Canis lupus familiaris: one gene and its partners. The protein of the gene in region 1 interacts with the protein of each later gene in a biochemical or structural test. Links are inferred from orthologs where the notes say so. Each region holds a gene or a part of one and is shown on either strand. Other genes may lie near its edges.

Region 1 (6,479 bases):
CCGACTTGAAGGGAAGCCTAAGATTGGAAATACAGTAAAATCCAGACTTCACCTCAGAGCAGTTTCCCCCCCCACCCACCCCCTACCCCCTCACCCCCTACCCCAGGAGCCCAAGAGAGATCAACCACAGTGCACCTTCAGGTGGCCCAGATGGGAAATTGAGATACATAGTTATCTCCTGACTTTGAAGATAAACCTCTGTCAAACCCAGGAAATGGTCCACCTCCGATCTGTGTTTCATTGTGTGTAAAGATAAACTCAAAACTCCAAAAGTAATCATAAACAATATTGAATTCTATTTAATGATGAGCTTGCTGAACTGTTTAGGGGGAAGTATACTGATGTCTGAAATTTACTTTGAAATGTATTCAGGTCTATGGCCATACCACCCTGAATGTACCTGATTGCATCTGAAATGCATTTAGAAAAAATAACCTGAATTGACCAATGGAAGTATAGTGAAACAATAACTGTAGGATCTGGGCAATGGGTACTTTGTGTTCTGTAAAACCTGTTCAACTTCAGTATGTCTGAAAGTTTTAATAATAAAATGTTGTCAAAACAACTGTCATGCCCCCCTTCACCAAAAGAAAATGAAATCTGCAACCAGCCAGGATCCCCCCCACACACACATTAAATAATATCTAGACTTGTTTATTTTTTAAGTCAGGCAAAGGGAAAAAAAAATCTTGAAGATTCAAGGTGTAAAACTGGCAATAACACTTTAATATAGATTTGTGGAACTCTGGCGCTTCCAGCCAGAACACACATTTATAAGCCATAAATAAAACACGCAGAAACCATAAATTAATCAGACCCGAGACCTGGATTTCACCGTGTCAAGAATGGGAATGCATTTTTTTTTTCTTTTTCTTGGTCATTTACAACAGACCCTTACATCTTTTTTTTTTCTTTTTAAACAATAGTACAACTCTGTTTCTCTGTTAAAACTACATGGTTTTACACTGAGTCACTCACAAAAGTTTGTGGGTTTTTTTTGTTTTCTGTTTTGTTGTTGTTGTTGTTGTTGTTTTAATAAAGTAAGACTTCCCTGCAACAGCAGCAATGGAGGAGAAGATGACAATGAAAAATCAGAACTCGCAAATGCTTAAAAGAAGCAGGCGTCTACACAGCAGTGGAGATCGGAGGCTTTTTGCTCTTTTCTTCCTCTTTTTTGTTTTTTGTTTTGACTGTTTGTCTTCTTGCCTTCCCTCCTTATATAGAATAATATCAGTGTGGCCCATCTATTTGGGAGGGAGAGCTGCAGAGGGTGAGGGGAGACTGCTGTCCTGGGGGTGGGGATGTGATGGTTTTCTTCTTCCTTGGATCTCTCCAACAACACCCCTTCTTCAAACTCTCCGCCCCATTTCCTCTCTCTTGTCCCTGTCCCAGGCTAGCCCGCTGTCGGGGTCTTCTTAAGAGGAGTTCATTATGGGCCGGGAGTACACTCCCTGGTAGTAGGAGGTGTCTGCGGCCAGGGGCGATGCGTCCAGGCCGGCTTTGTTCGTGACCGGGCCCATGGCCAGGCTCCCCGGCATCGGGGAACCGTAGCCAGGGTAGTGCATCACCTGTTCATAGGCCTTGAGGTCCATTTTGTGGGGTTGATGGTGGTGGTGGCTGTGGTGGTGCTGCTGCTCCGAGGACATGAGGTTGTTGATGGAGAAGGGGTGGTTGAAGGCGTAGTGGTGCTCGGGCTTAAGGTGGGCCTCCGGCGGCAGGCCGGGGTGGTGCGGAGGGCCCAGCAGGTGGGCGGCCGCCTGCTGCTGCTGCTGCTGCTGCTGCTGCCCCGGCGAGGGCGCCGGCTCCGGGGGGCTCAGGGCCGCGGCCGGCGTCCCCTTCAGCTCTCCCAGGGGCCCTCGCTTGTGCTCCTGGCACGGAGAGGCGCTCGAGTGGGGCGACTCGGTGCCCGCCGCAGTCTCAGAGGCCGGCCCGGCGGCCTCCCCGAGCTGACCCTGCGAGGCCTGGGCCGCCGCGGTCGCCTTCTTGCCCCCGCCCGCGGCCCCCGAGGCCTCCTTCAGGGCCAGCTGCTTCTCGCACTTGAAGCGCTTCTGGCGGCGCAAGTAGCAGCCGTTCTCGAACATGTTGCCCGAGTCGGGGTGCAGGGTCCAGAAGGAGCCCTTGCCGGGCTTGTCGGGCGAGCGCGGCACCTTGAGGAAGCAGTCGTTGAAGGACAGCGAGTGGCGGATGGAGTTCTGCCAGCGCTGCTGGTTCTGCCGGTAGAAGGGGAAGAGGTCCATGATCCACTGGTAGATCTCGCTCAGCGTCAGCATCTTGTTGGGGCTCTGCTGGATGGCCATGGTGATGAGCGAGATGTACGAGTAGGGCGGCTTGGCGTGCGTGTAGCTGCGCCGGTACGTCTTGGGGTCGCGCGCGCGGCTCAGGCCCGCCTGCCCGTACATGGGGCTCATGGAGTTCATGTTGGCGTAGGGGGCGAGGCCGCCCATGGCCCCGGCCGCCTGCCCCCCGAGCGGGCTCAGGCTGGGGCTCAGGTGCGGCCCCATGCCCGCCACGCCGGCCGCCCCGGCGGAGCCCCCCATGCTCGCCATGGCGCCCGCCCCGGGGGACATGCCGGCCAGGGACGGGCTCATGCCCGCGCCCACGTACGACGACATATTCATGGAGCCGGCGCTCATGTTGCCGGAGCCGCTGCCCATGGCGGCCGCGGACATGCTCATGTACGTGTTCATGCCGTTCATCCCCAGGCTGGCGTTCATGTTGCTCACGGAGGAGTAGCCCTGCGGACAGAGCCCGGGAGCGAGGCGCACAGGGTTAGCACCGCGGCGAGAGCGTGCGCGCCCTCCCACCCGCCAGGCCCGCCCGGGCGCCCTGCCTCCGGGGAGCCCTCTGGGGACCCTTCCCTCGCCCGGTCCGCGTCGGGGACGCCGTGGCCGCCGCGCTCGGAGAGCGCCGGGACCGCCCTGGAGGAGGCGGCAAGCAGGCTGCTGCCGTTTGCCTGCGGCCAGATCCCAGCCCTTGTGCGCCTCGCTTGGATTCTCAAGCCAGGGTTCCCCGGAGCCCCCCTAGGCCGGGCACCTCGAACGCATCCTCCCTCCGCGACTGTCCGGCCGGCACACCGGGTCCGCGCCGCGGCCTCGGACGCCACCTCCGACCCTGGTGAACAACCGGAGGGTCCCAGCCCAGGGCGCCCGGCGGCCCCAGGCGGAGGTCGTCCCGGCGTCCTCTCCGCTCACCCTCCCCCCCACCCCGCCCCGGGACCCCATCTCTGGCCCCGGGGGAGCCGAAACCCAGTGCCCGCGCAGGGTCTGGGGCCAGCTGGAGGCTCTGAGCGGAGCGGCAGGGAGGAGACCGAGGACTGGGCTACACGCGGCTGGGCTTTGCAGCCACAAACTTTCTTTCTCTTTGTTCCTAGTCTTTGACTCTGCTTCCACCTCGGCCCCCGACGCCTACCCACCTTCTCTCCAGCTCCCCACCCCCTCGCCGGCCGACCTCCCACCCCTCCCCAGCCGCGCGCTGCCAAACATAACTCTGTTAGGATAGTGCGTGGCTCGGCCACGAAGAGGATTTGGAGGCGCCGCAAGTCAATATTTGATCACAAAGTTAATATTATCTCAAGGCTAACAGTGTGTCGTATAAAAAAGAGACCCATTTGAGTCGAAGGAGGGTGGAAAAGGCGGCTGCCCAGAGCGGCTGGGGGTGGGGGGCGGGTGCCCGCAAGAGGAGCGGTCCTGAGGCTGGGAGACGGTGCGAACGCCGCCACCCTGCTTCCCCCTGGAAAAGGCGAGTGCCTACCTCCGGCTCGGCATAGTAGCTGCTCCAGTCGGACGGCTCGTGCCCTTCCATCTTCACCGCTCCCAGCATACTGGAAGCCGAGTGCATGGCAGTTTAAAATTTAACAGCCACAACAAACGACCAGCAATCACCCCCCCACCCCCACCCTCTTAAAAAAAAAAAAAAGTCAGCCAAGGCACCGTCCCCTCCCTCCCTCTCTCCTCGCACTCCCTGTCTCCGGCTCCACTCCCTCTCTCTCCCTCCGCCGGCCGGAGGCGGTAGTTGGAAGGGGCGGGAGGGGTCAGCTACGGGAGGAGGGGGCCCGGAGACCAGAGGAGGTCGGCCCCGAGTCCCGCGGCAGGGAGCGCCGCCGCCAGCCGCCCGCCGCCGCCGCCGCGCTCGCGGGCTGCCGGGCGGAGGCCGAGGTTGGCAGTGCCGAGCTGCCCCGAGGCGGCGGGAAGCGCGCGGCGCGGGGGCGGGTGGGGGGGAGAGGGAGGAGGTGGAGAGGAGGAGGAGGAGGAGGAGCAGGAGGAGGTGGAGGAGTGGAGGAGGTGGAGGAGGAGAGGAGGAGGAGGTGTGGACCGCGGAGCGGACAAGTGCCGCAGTGACGTGGGCGGCTGGTGATATAGCGCGGCGCGCCGGCGCCGGCCTCCAATCCCCAGACCCGGGGCAGCCCATTTGAATAATCAGCTCACACCTAGGTGAGAGGGAGCCTCGGCCGGCGCCCGGCACCTGCCCCTCCGCGCCCGGCGCCCGCCCCACTGCCGCCGCGCCCCGCACCGTACCGGGCCGGCGAGGGGGCGCGCGGGCGAGCGGGCGCGCGGGCTCCCTGCCCCAGCCCCCTTTACCCTTGCGCGCGCCGGGAGTGCCGGTGGCAGGAGGGACCTGGGTGCCTTCCTCCCCGCGAGCGGCCGGAGCTCTGACCCCCGCCCGGCCCCAGAGCGCCCGGTAGCCCCGTTGCAGAGCCTTAGAGATGCCCCATTGACTCATCCCGGGGTTCTTCATTCTCAGCGCTCATAACCTGTCAAAACGACAAGACGGTGACAGAGCCAATTTGCAAAGCACCGTCGTATTTAGAAAACCTGTATACACACCTGGAACTCGCCTGCCGCTGCTCCTGGGAGGCCCCTCCCTGTTACAGTTCAGACCCGGGGCGGCTCCGGCTGGCGTGCGGGGCTCTCGGGGTCCCGCAGCCGCGGGTCTCGCCTCCTCCGAGCCCGGCTCCCACGACCGACGGGGACGGGGGGGGGGGGGGGGCGTCGCAGAGCGCCGGGCGCACTCGGCCCCGCCAGCTGCAGTCGACGGTCGGGAGGCTGCTATTTGTCTCTGACATTCAGGACGCCGTGTTTCAAGGTTACTTTGCAGTCACAACCGAGGTGCCCACAGCATTTCGTAACTAAAACAAACAGGGCAAGAGGTGGGAGGTGAGGCAGGACAAGAGAGGGGGAAAAAAAGGAATCGATAATGGGACACATGGAATTTACTTCGGGAGAGTCTGCGTTCTCTGCTTTCTTGAGGGGCTCTTTTAGAAGAATCAGAAGTTCCGCAACCATATACTTCCTTCTTACTTTTGCTCCAGCTTCGGGGTGCAGATTTTCATCCGTTCTGGGCCACCTACTAATACCCTAGGGATCCCAGATTGCAGGGTTCGGGGTATTACAGGTGTTCGATGTGAACTTCTTTTCTTGGTTCTAAAAACATGCTGGGCCATGAGCATCCAGCCCCGTGGCCCCCATCTCAGAGCTAAAGAAGTAGGAAATAATATCTGGCCCACCTGTCCAAAGTTATGGGAATGGTGTCAGAAAACGGAGGTGAGGTGGCAGGCACTGAGCTGAACACCAAGAACAGAAGGTCTGTGTGAGGGCCAGGCTAGGAGTACAGGGAGGAAGAGCAGTCCAGGTAGGGAAGCCACCCCTTCTCTTCACCCCAGGTTATCTCAGGCCTGAATCGCTTTGAACCAGATGCAGTCTCAGGCAGCAACCCCAGCGCTGAACCGCAAACTGACCCGTTCATAGTGAGTGGGTTAATAAACCCACCCCTAACGAGTGCCAGGGCAGGATCCCCCAAAGCCAAAGTCTGGGGCTTTGAAAGCCTAGCGCAGCGCAGAGTTCCCTGAGAGGCAGGCCGGCCCGGTGCACCCGGAAAGTCTGTTGTGGGGTGCATGCACACTCAGTGCATGCGTGGGCTGGGGAGCATACTTGGGAAGGCAGAGCTCTCATCTTATCTCAGCTCCTCTCATCTCGCCTCAGAATACAAAGGGAGCAATTTAATCTTTCTCCCAGGGTTTGGGAAAGCGGGGTATGCACCGACGCTCAGAAGATAAGTTTTTCAAAGCTTTCTGCATAGACCCAGAGTAGAAATGCGACCACACACACACGCACACACACACACGCCAAAAACACACTCCCCCCAAGAGGCGCCTCTCGTGTTCAGTAGAAAAGAGACGTCCAAACAGACAAAGCTGTGAACAAAGCCAGACAACTTTCTGGTGTGTATGGACTTGAACCCAATCTGTACATGTATGCGTTCCACTTCCCTTTCACTTTTTGCTCCTGATCGAAAATACGGGTTTAGAAATTATTCCCTGGGCAAAAGGAAGGAGCGGAGCCGGGAGAGGAGGTCCGCGGGAGGAAGGAGCGCGACCTCCCCAAGGGGCGAGCTTGAGAGCGAGGCACGCAGGTGCTCGCCCCAATGGGTGGTCGGGGGCGGGGGGGGGGCTCGCCCGGGAGCGCTCCGCGCCGGCTCCCGCA
Region 2 (6,552 bases), on another chromosome or scaffold:
TAGGGCAACGAGAACAGGGCTTCTTCACAGAAGGAACACAAGGGAGTTTCAGAAAGTCACCTTAGTACTGACACTACGCGGGATCCGCTAATACTGCTCAGTACTTTAAACGCTCAAATACTCAGGGGCGGAAGGCCCCTCCCGCCGCCGCCATGCTCATGCTTTTCAGCTTATTATCCTTTTTCCATTTCATTCTCCGGTTTTGGAACCAGATTTTAATTTGTCTCTCGGAGAGGCAAAGAGCATGTGCTATTTCAATCCTTCTTCGGCGGGTCAGGTAGCGGTTGAAGTGGAACTCCTTCTCCAGCTCCAGAGTCTGGTAGCGCGTGTAGGCCGTCCGGGCTCTCTTGCCTTCCGGGCCGCCTATGTTGTCTGCAACAGAAAAGTCAGCGATTTAGCCACCAACTCCGCAGCCCCCGGGTGCCCAAGTCGAGCTGGGGTCCTGAGCAGGGAGCGGGGGAGAAACGCTCAACAAGTCCTCCCTGCTCGCCGGCCCACCCCTCCCGAATTTCCTTCCCTCTTCCTTTCTAGAGAGAACACAATACAGTTTGGACTCTGGGAACAATCGGCCCATCTGAGGCTGGAGCCGCGTCCCGGAGGATCGCCCGGCTTTCCTTCACCCCTCTCCTGCCCTCTGGCCCTGCCCCTGGCGTCCCGAGGCGGGGCACTGCCCTCCCAGGCAGCCCACCTCTCAGAAACCCACGGAAGCAAGGCCCTTTCCTGAGCGCCCAAGTGGCCTCCAGGTCACCCTCCCCTAAAGTTCCAGCCCCGCGAGCCGCCTTCTGTTCCAGCCTGCACGCTTGGGGCGCCTGCTTTCTTTTTCTTCCCCTTTCTGCTGTCCCTTCTGCTCCCAAACTTCAGAATCCCGCCGGCTCTCGCCTCGATTATTCCCCCCCCCCAAGCCCCTTTTCGGGGACTCTAATTAGTAACGCTGTTTCCCCAGCGTAGCCCTCCTCATAAATTATCCGCCCTGACAAGCCCAATTCACGGCCCCTACTGCCATCCTCTACCTCTCTGCGCCCTGCTCGGCTGGCCTGACCCGGGAGCGCGTTCCGAGGCGCTGGGGTTCGATATGGGATTTTTCCTCCCCACCCCCCCGTTTCAACATCTAAACTTGCCTGGCCAGCGGCCCTTCTCCCCCACCCCCATCCCTCCCCGTCTGCGAGCTTTGGGCGCTGCAGAGAAGAGAAGGTGAAAGGAGGAAGGCAGGGGAAGGGAACGGCGGGGAGAGACTCCACAGGGCTGGGAGAGGCGAGACCAGGAGACAGACGGGAAGAGAGGGCGGTAAAGAAGAGAGGGGGGACCGAGAGCCGCGCCCCCGCGGCCGCGTGGATTTAGAAAAAGGCTGGCTTTACCATGACTTATGTGCAGCTTGCGCATCCAGGGGTAGATCTGGGGTTGGGCGGGCGGCGCCGGGCTCGGCTCGCTCTGCGCGCTCGCCTGCTCGCTGCTGGCGGGGGCGTCCTCCTCGGCTCCGGACGCCGTGCCAACCCCCTCTCTGCTGCTGATGTGGGTGCTGCCGGCGTTGGCCGAGGCGCCGCTGGAGTTGCCCAGGGAGTTTTTCCCGCCGTGGTGGCTGTCGCTGCCGGGCGAGGGGGCCACGGCGGAGCAGGGCAGCGGGTCGGGCGGAGGCGAGTGCGTGGACGTGGCCGGCTGGCTGTACCTGGGCTCGGCGGGCGCCGCGCTGGCGCCGGCCGCGTAGCTGCGGGCGCGCTCCCCGGAGCCAAAGTGGCCGGAGCCTGAGCGGCCGACGCTGAGATCCATGCCATTGTAGCCGTAGCCGTACCTGCCGGAGTGCATGCTCGCCGAGTCCCTGAATTGCTCGCTCACGGAACTATGATCTCCATAATTATGCAACTGGTAGTCCGGGCCATTTGGATAGCGACCGCAAAATGAGTTTACAAAATAAGAGCTCATTTGTTTTTTGATATGTGTGCTTGATTTGTGGCTCGCGGTCGTTTGTGCGTCTATAGCACCCTTGCACAATTTATGATGAATTATGGAAATGACTGGGACATGTACTTGGTTCCCTCCTACGTAGGCACCCAAATATGGGGTACGACTTCGAATCACGTGCTTTTGTTGTCCAGTCGTAAATCCTGCCTGATGACCTCTAGAGGTAAACTCGTGCACTAATGGGGGAGTTGGGTGGAGGCGAGAGGGGTGGCGCGCGCGCCGCAGGCGCGTGCCCGCCACCCGCCGCCGCCGTTCAGTCGGACTCGAGCGCCACCCGCTGGAGGCAGGGCGCATCGCTCCGCTTCCGACCCAGGGCTGCAAGGGCCGGGGTCGAATTGAGGTTACAGCCCATTATGGCAAAATTATTGCATTTCCCTCGCAGTTCCATTAGGATGTACCAATTGTGAGGCCGTCAGCTGCCGATCGCGCGCCCGGCGAGGATGCAGAGGATTGGGGGGAGATGGTGACTTGGATTTTATTTACAACAACTTTATTTCCCCGCTGTGCAGCCCCTCTTATTTTTGTGTCGAGGTTGGGGTCGGTTCTGCCCGTCGTGCCGGCAGCTCTGAAATTTGAAAATACAGATATCACCTTCGGGGAAGGGGGGAGGCCATTTAGCCAATTGGAGAAATAAATCCTGCCCGCAGCAGCAGCTACAATTACGGCTCTGTTTTTCTGTGAGTGCATGAGGGACAGTGTCCCTGCCGCTCTTAAATGACAGGCGTCTATTAAAGATAGCTTTTGTGTAGTGTTTCTCCGAGGCGAGGTCAAATTCCATACACTTTTATAACCGGAGTCGATTTTTCTTTCGTGTAAATATGGTTTTCGTGTCATTAGTTCGCTATTTGATTTGCTTTAAGTATCCAATCCGGAGAATCTTCACCACCAGGTCCCTTTCCTGGAGGCAGCCGGGCCCCAAGTCGGAGGGTTCTCTGTGAACCCAGCCAGTGGGCCCAGCCTCCCCGCAGCCACAGAAGCTGCTTGGAGGCTGGGGATCCTTGGGCCGAGGTATGAGCGTCTTGCTTAGACCTCCAGGAGTAAAATGAGGGTGCTAATGGAAGCATTTCGTGCCAGTGCCTAGTAGCTTCGTATTTTCCTGGGTCCTGAAAGACGAAAGTAGATCACGAATATAGCCGAAAGGCATGGGGGGGTGGGGACTTCCCGCTGGAGGCTGAGCGTCGCAGGCACCCCTGGCACATTTGGAAACCAGGACTCTTGCCCCATGGCCCCGAGCCCCTTCCTTTGGTCCTGAAAGCTACCCTGGTAGCAGCGCAGGCACCATCGGAGGCGGGGTCCGGGATCCGGAGCTGGAGCCTTCGGGAGCCCAGGCTCTCCGGGGGCTGTAAAGTTCCACCCGCGCCCAGGTTGCGGCGGCTCGGCTGAGGCTGCTTCTCTTCCACGGACGGTTGCGCGCGCGGGGCCGAGAGACTAGGCTGTCTCAGGGCCCCCTTTGTTCCTTACGCTTCTTCCTGTCTAGGAGCGGCCTGGAATGCCACTGCAGTGCTGGGGCCCCGGCCTTTAGGCCCCCTCTTTCCAGTGGCCCGAGTCGATTTGGTGGTACCCTCCGGGACTTGGTGGCGAGGGACCGAGGCGGAAACGCCCAGACACCCACCGAAAGGGGCTCGGCCCCGGGTTCTTTCCTCTCCAGCAATCCCGCGTCCCCGAGCTCAGGAGCACGCAAAGGCGCAATATAGCACAAGAGCCAGGGACGAATTCGGGGCGCGCCCCGGGATCCGGAGCCGGCTAGGGCAGCCTTGGAGAGCGGGACTGTGTGTGCAGTGCGCCCTGCTCCACCGCTGGGATTGGCTGTGTGTAGTATTATTATTATTATTATTATTATTTTTTTGGTAAGAAATAAATGCTCAGGCGTTTGCAAAGCTCCCAACTCCCCTGAAGCTGCGGAAGCCCCCCGGAGGAGCAGGCGGGGGAGAAAAGTTGGGGAGCAGGCGAAGGCAAGGGGGCAAAGCCGAGGGAGGTTGCGGCGCTGGCCTGGTCCCTGCCCAGGCGTCTACTCGCCAGCCTTTGCCTCCGCGTCCTCCCCGCTGGGCTGTGTGGAATTGATGAGTTTATTTTCCTTTTTCCACTTCATGCGGCGGTTCTGGAACCAGATCTTGATCTGGCGCTCGGTGAGGCAGAGCGCGTTGGCGATCTCGATGCGGCGGCGCCGCGTCAGGTAGCGGTTGAAGTGGAACTCCTTCTCCAGCTCCAGCGTCTGGTAGCGCGTGTAGGTCTGGCGGCCTCGGCGCCCGTGACTCCCATACACAGCACCTGCGGGCAGAAATGGCCGGGCGCCCGGTGAGCCAGGATCCCGGCAGCCGAACCAGTCAGACCCGCGCCCCGCGCCCCTGGCCTCTAAACTGGAAGCCCACTCGCCTCCGCTCCAGCCTCTTTCGCTATGTCTAAGGCCAAAAGCCGGCCGGATGGGAGAAGATTATTTCCTACCAAGCGAGATGTTTTCCACCTAAAACAATTTGGAGTGAGAAGTTATTGTTTTTTTGGAAAATCTGCTCAGTCAGAAAACCATTACAAGCAAAATAAGAGAATGAGCTGCTTAATTCAGGGTACCTGAGTTGTGCTTTTGTGGGAGTGTAGTCTGTGTGTGTCTGGAAGGGATGGGTGCGGAACCCTGGAAGTAGGTTGGACCCTAGGAATTCACACACGGATTTCTGTGAAGGTGTTACTGTGGCCACACATGTCAGGACTCAACATGGGGGTTTTTTGGAAGATGAAAAATGGTTAGCCCTCTCAAATCTTTGCAAACTCCCCCAAACTGTATGGCCCTTCTGAGAAATACAGCACTCTCTTGGAAAAAAAAAAGTGGATCTTAAAGCAAAACACTATCAGTCTAAAAATCTGCACTAGGCTCTGCCCTGCTCCAAGGATTCTCTGTCGAGTTTTCGGAAACCAGAGGCAAAGGGATGGAGCGATGGGCCATCTGGGGTTTCTGGAAATGTAGGACTGTGATGGGCTATCTGTTCTGGTGCCAAAGGAGCCCATGGGTGGGGGGCTCCCCCCCCCCCCCAAGCTGGGTGTGTGAGACTCAGGCAGGGCCTCAAAAGGAGGCACAAGTTGGCTAAGAGTGAGCAGTTGAGTGGAAGGGGGAGGAGGGGAGGGAGGGGAAAGAGAAAAAATCCTGAGGCTGGGGATGTGGCCCTCCAAGGCTTTAGGGAGACACTAGTGAGAGCCTTTAATCTATATGGATTTCTGAAAGGCAGAAAGGAGAGGGGTTGGGGAGTGAAAGGGAGTTATCAATGGTGGGTGCAGAAGGCCATCTCTGCTTGGGGATCTGAGCAGGGTGTTATTACCAGGGTGAAGTGTGGGCAGGCACTCCCTCCCACCCAGCCTAGCTCTCTGTTCAGGTTGCCCCTGTCACTGAGTCTCACATAGAGTGGCAGTGACCCCTCTCGATTCCCTAAGGTGTCACCTTACAAGGATACTAGTGCCGAGCCTTCACACGGCCACAGCTTGATTGCCTCACTGGGCATGGGTTGGGGTTGTTTGTTTTTGTTTTTGTTTTTAATCTCTTAAAAAAGCCAAAGAAACTTTGTTCAGTCTTTCCTCCTCTCTTTCTATTTCCTCCTTCTACTTTCTCTGTCTCCGCCTTCCTTCCTCCTTTCCCCGTCTCCCTCCACTCTCCTGGGGGGGCTGCAGGGAAATGCCTTACCCGCGCAGGAGTTCATCCGCTGCATCCAGGGGTAAACGGGGCTCGTGTACTTCCGGTCGGTGCCTTCGTCATGGAGGGCTTTGCCCGGCACGCTGCTGCTGTCGGGTTTGTACTGCTGCTCGGGAGAAAAGTGCAGGTAGTCCCCGGGGCCCCTCTGCTTGCCACTGCCCGAGGGCGAGGCGCCACTGAGGTCCTTATCAGAATAGAAACACGAGGCCCCGTACTCGTAGGACGCCCGGTTGCAGGCCAGGACCGAGTTGGACTGTTGGTAGAAACAAGGTGAGGTGTACGTCTTGTCCGGGAGGCTCGACGCCCCGTACGAGGCCGGGAAGGGCCTCAGCGCGTCATAGCCGGCCGGGTAGAGGGGCAGCTGGCCCAAGAAGGAGTCCTGGCCGCTGGGCAGGCTCCCGGGGAAAGTGGGATTCACAAAATAGGAACTCATTTGCGCGCCCCTCTGCAGGACTGTGATTTGTTGTGTATTAGTACATCTGGCTATAACTATTAGTAGTCATCGAACTGGTTTGTTTCTGGATGGCCGAACGCCAAAAGCGACAGCAGCAAATCGCACCAGCTGACGCGGCGGCGGCCAATGGGAGCGAGCGCTGGAGCCCGCTCCCCGGGGACCGCGGCGACCGAGGCAGCAAAGTTACAAACAGCCCCCAGCCCGCCCGCCCGCCGCCGGCCCGGCAGATTGATGGGCGCGCACAGCCAGCCGGCCCGGCTCTCCTCCCGAACGCCGGCGGCGGGCACGGCCCGGGTAGGGGCGTGCGGATCGGGCCGGGCTAGGGGCACTGGAGTCCGGGCCGCCGCAGAGGCCCCGCCAGGCCCGCTCCTTCCTCCTCCCCTTCTTGCCTGGTCGGATTTTGCTGGTTTTTCTTTCCAAACAGGAAACCTGGCAGCCCCGCGCCCGGAGGGGCGGTGACAACGCTGGC
Region 3 (6,397 bases), on another chromosome or scaffold:
ATGTTCTTACAGGTGAAGAGCAATTTTGCAACTTTTCCAGGAGACACCAAGGAGAAAGCTTTCTTGCTACCAACTGCTGCAGAGTCTGAGCAGAATTCCTCTAGAAAGAAAAAGAAAGTCTTTTTCCCCCCCTGTCTGCCTCTGTCTCTAGTTCTCTTTCTCCTCTCTGTCTCTCTCTCTGTCTCTCTCTCTCTGTCTCTCTCTCTCTCAGATCCAATCTTTTAAGAGCTTCAGCACATTGCTAAGCTAAAGGGAAATTCTCTTTGATAAAGCGGCGTTTCCAGCTTCTGGGTTTTAAAACCTAAATCTATATTCAAATCTGGCTGAAGGTGTGTTCTGGGATTTATGAAAGCCTCTTAAAGGGGTAAATTTACCAAACCGTGACAAAATCATCACAATCTTACTTTAGACATCTGAAGTGGATGAGAATTTTAAAGAGACCCTTGTTTATTTAACACTGTCCATTTCCAACTCGTGGTTTATTGGTCCTGCATTTCTGCGAAGTTATTAGACTAAAGGGCAAAGGAGAAGCGAGAGCGGTCTGCTCCCAGCCGCTGCGAAGGGAAAAGCCCTCCCACGCCCCCACGGCGCCGAAATCTGCCCTCGTCCAACAGAACCCGGGAATTTTCAGGAAGATTCGGCTGCCCCCGCCAACTGGGAGGACAGCGCAAACCTCTGCGGAGGTCTTGCAGGTTTTCCCACAACACTGGACCCTACAGCAAATAGATCTCCCAGTCTAACATGCTTCCCTTACTTCGTGGAGATCACAAGTACGTGTTCTGAGGCTTCTCCACCCCACCCCCCACCCCCCACCCCTACTGTCCCCAAGGCCTCCCTGCGGCCCTTCCCCTTCGCCAGACGCACAACGTCCATTTTTTCTTTTCCTTCTTTGATGCTTTAAACATCATTGCGATCAAACTGGGAGAAACACTGTCTTTTCTCGGGGTGGGAAGGAGGCTCTGGCACAGGGGATCTGGGTGGATTTGGCCCTTCCTTCACCGAAAGTATCGTGACTCTGGCCAAGTGCTCCCAACCAATGGGCGAGACCGCCTAGGGCATTTGTGGCTCTCTCCTCCCTCCCCAGTTAAGGGCCGGGCGGGGGCGGGGGGCAGTCGCCAGGTGTTTCGGTACAGTGGGGGCGGGGTGAGAAAAAAAAAAAAAAGGTCTATACTCACCCTCCCCCCCCAGCCCGGGACCCCAGAAAGTCGCGACTCCTGGGACCGCGACAGCCAGCGGGTCTCTCCGGACTGGAGCGGGCGCTGAGGGTTCGGGAGTTGCTGGGCAGACCCCGGGCCGCTCGGGGGCTCGTTGGGACGCGGGGGCCCAAAGCTCTAGAGACACCTGCGAGGCTGGCCGCGGCCACCGAGCGCCCAGCCCCAGGCCGAGCCGCAGCCGGAGCCCAGCCGCGCTGCCGAGCGCTCGCTGCCTCGTGCGCACTCCCGTAATTCGTTAATTGCTGTAAATCCCAAGGACGGCCACATTTGATTACACATACAGTATAAGAACCGACAACAAAGCGACGAATTAATTACCAACTTCATTAACATAGGTCCCCAAATTAAAGGCAGCGAGCTGTTTCTTTGGGCCCACTTGCCGTGGTGGTGGTGGTGGTGGTGGTGGTGGTGGTGGTGGAGGAAGGGGGAGGGTGTTTAGAAAGAGATTTTATTTTTCTTCTCCGGCAGTGGGAGTCATGAGGGCAGAGATGTCTTCTGCTCCCCCCACCCACCACCCCTCCACCCTCAGCCGGTCCTCTGGTGCACCCCCCCCCCATTCCCTCCGCCCAATCTGCTTTTCTAGGGACTCAGATGGGTTTGGAAGCTGTCGGGTCCCGCTCTCTGTGCCAGGCATTAAAGTTAGGCTGGGGCTCGCTCCCTGGCTCGGGTCCCCTGGTGCCGCCAGTCTCCCGCCTCCGGGCTCTCGGCCCCCGGCTCGGGCCGCGCGGGCTCTTAGCTCCAGGCCCCGCCGCCGGCCAGTGAGGAGCGTTTGTCTTAACGTGGAGCCGTTTCCAGCGCGGGCCTCCTGCGTTCGCGCCCTCCCCGGGTGCCCGGCCGACCCCTCTTCCTGACCTGGCTCCCGCCGTCTCCCCAAACCGGCCCTGGGGTCAGACGCCCCGGTGGTGTGCCCGGCAGCCTGCCTTGGGCTCCTGCAAACTCTTAAAATCCTGTGCGGGTAACAGGAGCCCGAGGCGCTCGCTTCGGGGACCGGGGAATATCGATAAGGGCGCAACGAGTGGGAGAGACCCTGAGTTTCTGAAAATAGTTTGTGATTGGACTTGTGCATCCGTCTTTCCCTTGCCTACACGCCCAACGCTGGCTCCCAGGCCGCCTTCTTTCCCCCTTTCTGGCCCTCAGCGTGCTCTGACCCTGGTTAAACCGGCGTCGTGGCCGTTTTAGGCTTCAGCCCGACTTGCTCTCTGCGTCTGACCCACACGCTCACCGCCGGCGTTGCAGGCGATAACCCAGCTACTGCTCCACCCTCGCTCTTCTCCAGCATTTACCTAAACATTTTTATCTTTCCATCTTATTGTATGGGTTTCCTTTTTCCCCTTCCCGAAAATCAAAATAAAACAAAAAGGGAGGGGGGGGGGAGAAAGGAAAGGAAGGAAAAGAAGAAAAGGAGAAGAAAGGTAAGGGAGGCCTCCCTGTCCATCATTTTAATTATACAATTAGTTCACATGCTCCGGCCCATAATGTATATTTTAAGCGGAGCCCAGTGTCTTTCAAGAACATTCTGGTAATGTCGGAGGCCTGGATTTGTTGCCCGCTCGTCCCCCCGTGCAGCAGCGGCCTGTTTTCCTCCCCCTGTTGTGTGTTTTTATTATTTTCCCTCTGGCTTAGATGTGTCAATCATTCTCTCCCTGCCATTGGTTGGAGAGTTTGCGTCAAAAAGTTGCCAGAGAGGCGCTTTCTCAGCAAATCTCCCTGAGAGCGGAACCGACCTCAGCTCCAACTCAGCCTCCACTGTTATTAAAAATAAAAATCGCTAGAGCAGCCCTCATCACGTCTACTTTGTATGTATCCCAGAGGGGCCCACGCGTGTTTCGAACTCGAGCTACTTTCCTCATTTTCTATTCTTTAAATTTTTTTTTCGTTGTTTGACTTTTCATGGAGGGTTGAAGACTGCAAGATTTCTAACTCAATACTCTTGATTTCTTTTAGGATAGCGGGCTATTTGGAATTTTGAAGGATAATTAAATTTTTTTCTAACTTCCCATGCGGCCGTAAGGTAAGTGTCCGTCTGTCTTGTCTGCCTGTCTACACCCATGTGTTCCTCTGACTACCATCGCCCCACTACCTCCAATAGACCGACTAAAGCACACTTCTGGGAACGTGGAGTTCTTCTGAAGCATGTTGTATTTTTCTCCCTCGTAAATGTTTTTAGGTGTAGTAACGATCATTGCGAAAAATGTGTGATCTGGAGGTGAGGGCGGGAGTGAGAGGAGGGGAGGCAGCGCGCTCCTGGGGTCGCCGCTTCCGCCAAACGTCGTGGAAACCCTGCGAGGCTAATGTGGGGTGTTCTGGACGGGTTTTGTTTGTGGTTTTGTTTTATGTCAACGCCCATTCTGGGCTTCTCCCTGCTAATTTTGCGTTTTGGCTCTCAGATGTGGCTGGGTCATTTGTACCGATCTCAAGGACATTTTCAGAGTCAGACAAAACGCTGCAGATGTAGCTAGATGGATGGGTAATGATGATGGTGGTGGTGGTGGTGATAAGACAGGCGTCTTCTAGGGCCCGCGTGCCCGTAGCCCGACTCGCTCTCCGATTGCCGGGTGAGGACGGTCGCAGCTCGAGCCCTCGCCTGCCCCTACTGAACGGGAGGGGAAACCCGAGCGGATAACCGAGGAGGCTCGCCGCTCTTTCCGGGGCCCTCTCCCGGAGCCCAGAGCAGCTCCCTGCGATTCGCCCTCCGTCCTCCTTTTCCTTTTTGATCACCACTTGTCTCCTCCCAGAATAACCTGGGAGTGCGGGAACTCCCCCACCGCCGGCTGTCGTGGTCCCAGCCCCGGGTCACCAGGCCGGGCGAGAGCTGTTTGCCCGGGATGGTTACCGGCCCGCGCGGGGCAGCCGTCCGCGGGCATCCGGGGCTGGCCGAAGTGTTGGGGAGTGGCCCCTGCTGCGCCCGAGGCCGCGGCGGGCCGGGGGACAGGAAGCCTCACCTTGGGGCAGGCGGCCCCTCCGCCCTCTGGCCTGGGGGCAGCGCCGGGGCCTGCGTGCGCGCTCGCGCGCTCCCCTCCCAGGCTCGGGGACAGCCGGCTGCCGTGGGGCCGGGCGGGGGTCGAGGGGGTGCACCCCGAGGCCCAGCCCTCCGTTCTCGGTCCACCCAGGGAGAACCATCAGGTCTCCACCAGCAGCCAGCCTCGGCGACGTGTTCCGCCGCCAACTGCAAAGAGGTCTTCCCGCTGATGCGTTCAGGGGCCTCTTGGAATCACGGTCCGACTTCGGAACGCATCTTTCTGAAATCGAAGTCCCCGGTCAGAACTCCCACCGAGCTGGCTTTTTCCTCCGGTGCAGACAGTGGTGGGCTGTGGGGACAGAAGGCCGAGCTGCGTTGGCCCTGGAGTGCTGGGGGACTTGGGGAGGGCACGGGGCAAGTCGGATCCTTGAACACCCCCCACCCCACCCCACCCCACCTCGGTCCTAGAGCTGCGGGTCCGGATTTCTCGCTCCCGCTCACTTCGGGACTTTTTCCAGGCACCAAAAGTTATTAGCACAGGAGGCGAGTTGGAGAGCAAACTCCTCCCCCCAAAGGAAGGTAGACACCCAGACCTCTCCTCTCCGAGCTAACACTGGGGCTTTCTCCTCACCATAATTAATAGTCAAGGCCAACCCTTTTGGCACGTTTCTTCCTCCCTCCCTCGCGGGTGGCAGCGCTGTTCGATTCCCCGAGGCCAGAAACTTTCCCTCGAGTTCGCCCGAGAGGGAGGCCCGCGCCGGCCGCCTCCGCGGTGCCCGCATCTCTCCTCTTTCTTCTCTCCTGCCTTGCGCTCTCTCCCGAGCCACAGGCCAGTCGCCAGTCCGCGTAGTTTTGTTTCTTTTCCATCATGCAGAAAATTAATCAGCCCGGACGAGAAGCAGAGCTGAGCACGGCGGCCTGTAATTAAGGGACGTGTGCCCCTCGGATTATCTCGTTAGTTTATCAAGAAAACATTTATTATAATTAATTCTTGGACGAGGTAATTATTATTGAGCGAGGACACAGCAACTGGTAGATGGGCTCCTTGGAAGGAAAAAAAAAAAAAACCAACAAGCGGGGCGGGGGGTGGGGGAGATGCGGGGGAGGTGGGGGGAGAGCGACAGATTGCACGAATTGACCGTTAGATATAAGGCGGCGCGGGCCGGGGCGGGCAGTGGAGCCGGACCCGGGGCGCCAGGACTGCGGGGCTGCCGCGCGGGGACGCCGGACCGAGGCATCGCGCCCGGACTTGCGGCGCCCGCCGGCCGCGGGCACTCGCCGAACCACCGTCACCCGCTCCCGTAGGTAGGAGTTCTCCAGCCGCCACCTCCTGAGCGATCATATGGAAGCTTGTAGCTTTGAAAGGGTCTTTCTGTCCCCCTTCTAGGCTCGGCTTAGAGAGGAAGGGAGAAAGGTGTCCATTTGGGGCTTTGGAAGTTAGATGGAAGGGCCCATGGCCTCTTCTTTGGAGAGTGCATACCTAGGCCGGCTGCTGAGAGTACTTAGTTTTGTTTGGGGGTATGTCTCTTTCTCTTTCAAAGATGCAATCCAGTAGTAAAAGCGAAAAACTGTTTACTCCTAAATTTTAGTGTTATTTGCGTTGGTAAGGGCACAGGAGCTCCAAGAAGGATCTTTGCCTGGTGCTTTCTATCTGCTACTGCCTTTTATGTTGGAATGTGCCACTTTCTGTAACAGACATTTCTAATTGGGTGAGAATTCTACATGTAAAAACAATTGCGTGTGTCTCATGTGTACATCTGCTATGATTTTAGTTTTTTCTACAGTAGTTCAGAACTTTCCAATGTAGTAGGATTGTATTAAGAGAGAACTCCAGCTCAGAGGCTATTTAGACAAATAAAATGACTGTATTTTAAAGCAATATTATTTTCACAGCCTCCAAATAACTGTCTTGAAAAGAGAGTAGAAAATATCAAGTCTTTGTTATAGGATCTACATTAGTTTTGCTGATAAGATAGTACAAATTCCCCCAAAAGGGGTATTTATAAAATTACATTAAATCAGATCTGAGGGTGGAAAAGCATGTTTTTTGTGCTATGAATTTAAAGCAGGAAGAAGTTAGAGTAACTGGGTTCCATTTGTGGACTTTTGTGTCTTGATTTCTAAAGCAATGTAAATATGAAAATCCAATGCTGAAAACTCAGTAGGACCTTTGTCAAAGTAAGAGGCAACTTCTCCTAATCTTGTATCCGCCATTTTGAAGCAA

The links.
Region 2: the proteins of FOXA2 (region 1) and HOXA5 form a complex in vitro, tested with the Homo sapiens proteins (2 studies listed by BioGRID). The link is inferred for Canis lupus familiaris from reciprocal best matches to the Homo sapiens genes FOXA2 and HOXA5.
Region 3: the proteins of FOXA2 (region 1) and OTX2 form a complex in vitro, tested with the Homo sapiens proteins (2 studies listed by BioGRID). The link is inferred for Canis lupus familiaris from reciprocal best matches to the Homo sapiens genes FOXA2 and OTX2.

What each region holds. Positions count from the first base shown.
Region 1 is NC_049245.1:1,386,927-1,393,405, reverse strand, and holds FOXA2 (hepatocyte nuclear factor 3-beta), read right to left. Parts: upstream 4,125-6,479; 5' UTR 3,838-4,124; coding exon 3,751-3,837; intron 2,736-3,750; coding exon 1,416-2,735; 3' UTR 639-1,415; downstream 1-638. UniProt on the Homo sapiens protein: Transcription factor that is involved in embryonic development, establishment of tissue-specific gene expression and regulation of gene expression in differentiated tissues.
Region 2 is NC_049235.1:40,412,068-40,418,619, forward strand, and holds the start of HOXA5 (homeobox protein Hox-A5), read right to left. Parts: upstream 3,952-6,552; 5' UTR 3,216-3,951; exon of another isoform or gene 3,060-3,215; 5' UTR 2,251-3,059; coding exon 1,356-2,250; intron 373-1,355; coding exon 122-372; 3' UTR 1-121. Other genes in the region: HOXA6 (homeobox protein Hox-A6), read right to left, coding at 3,965-4,224, 5,621-5,882. UniProt on the Homo sapiens protein: Sequence-specific transcription factor which is part of a developmental regulatory system that provides cells with specific positional identities on the anterior-posterior axis. Also binds to its own promoter.
Region 3 is NC_049229.1:32,746,639-32,753,035, reverse strand, and holds the start of OTX2 (homeobox protein OTX2), read left to right. Parts: upstream 1-2,920; 5' UTR 2,921-3,010; intron 3,011-3,158; 5' UTR 3,159-3,225; intron 3,226-6,397. UniProt on the Homo sapiens protein: Transcription factor probably involved in the development of the brain and the sense organs. Can bind to the bicoid/BCD target sequence (BTS): 5'-TCTAATCCC-3'.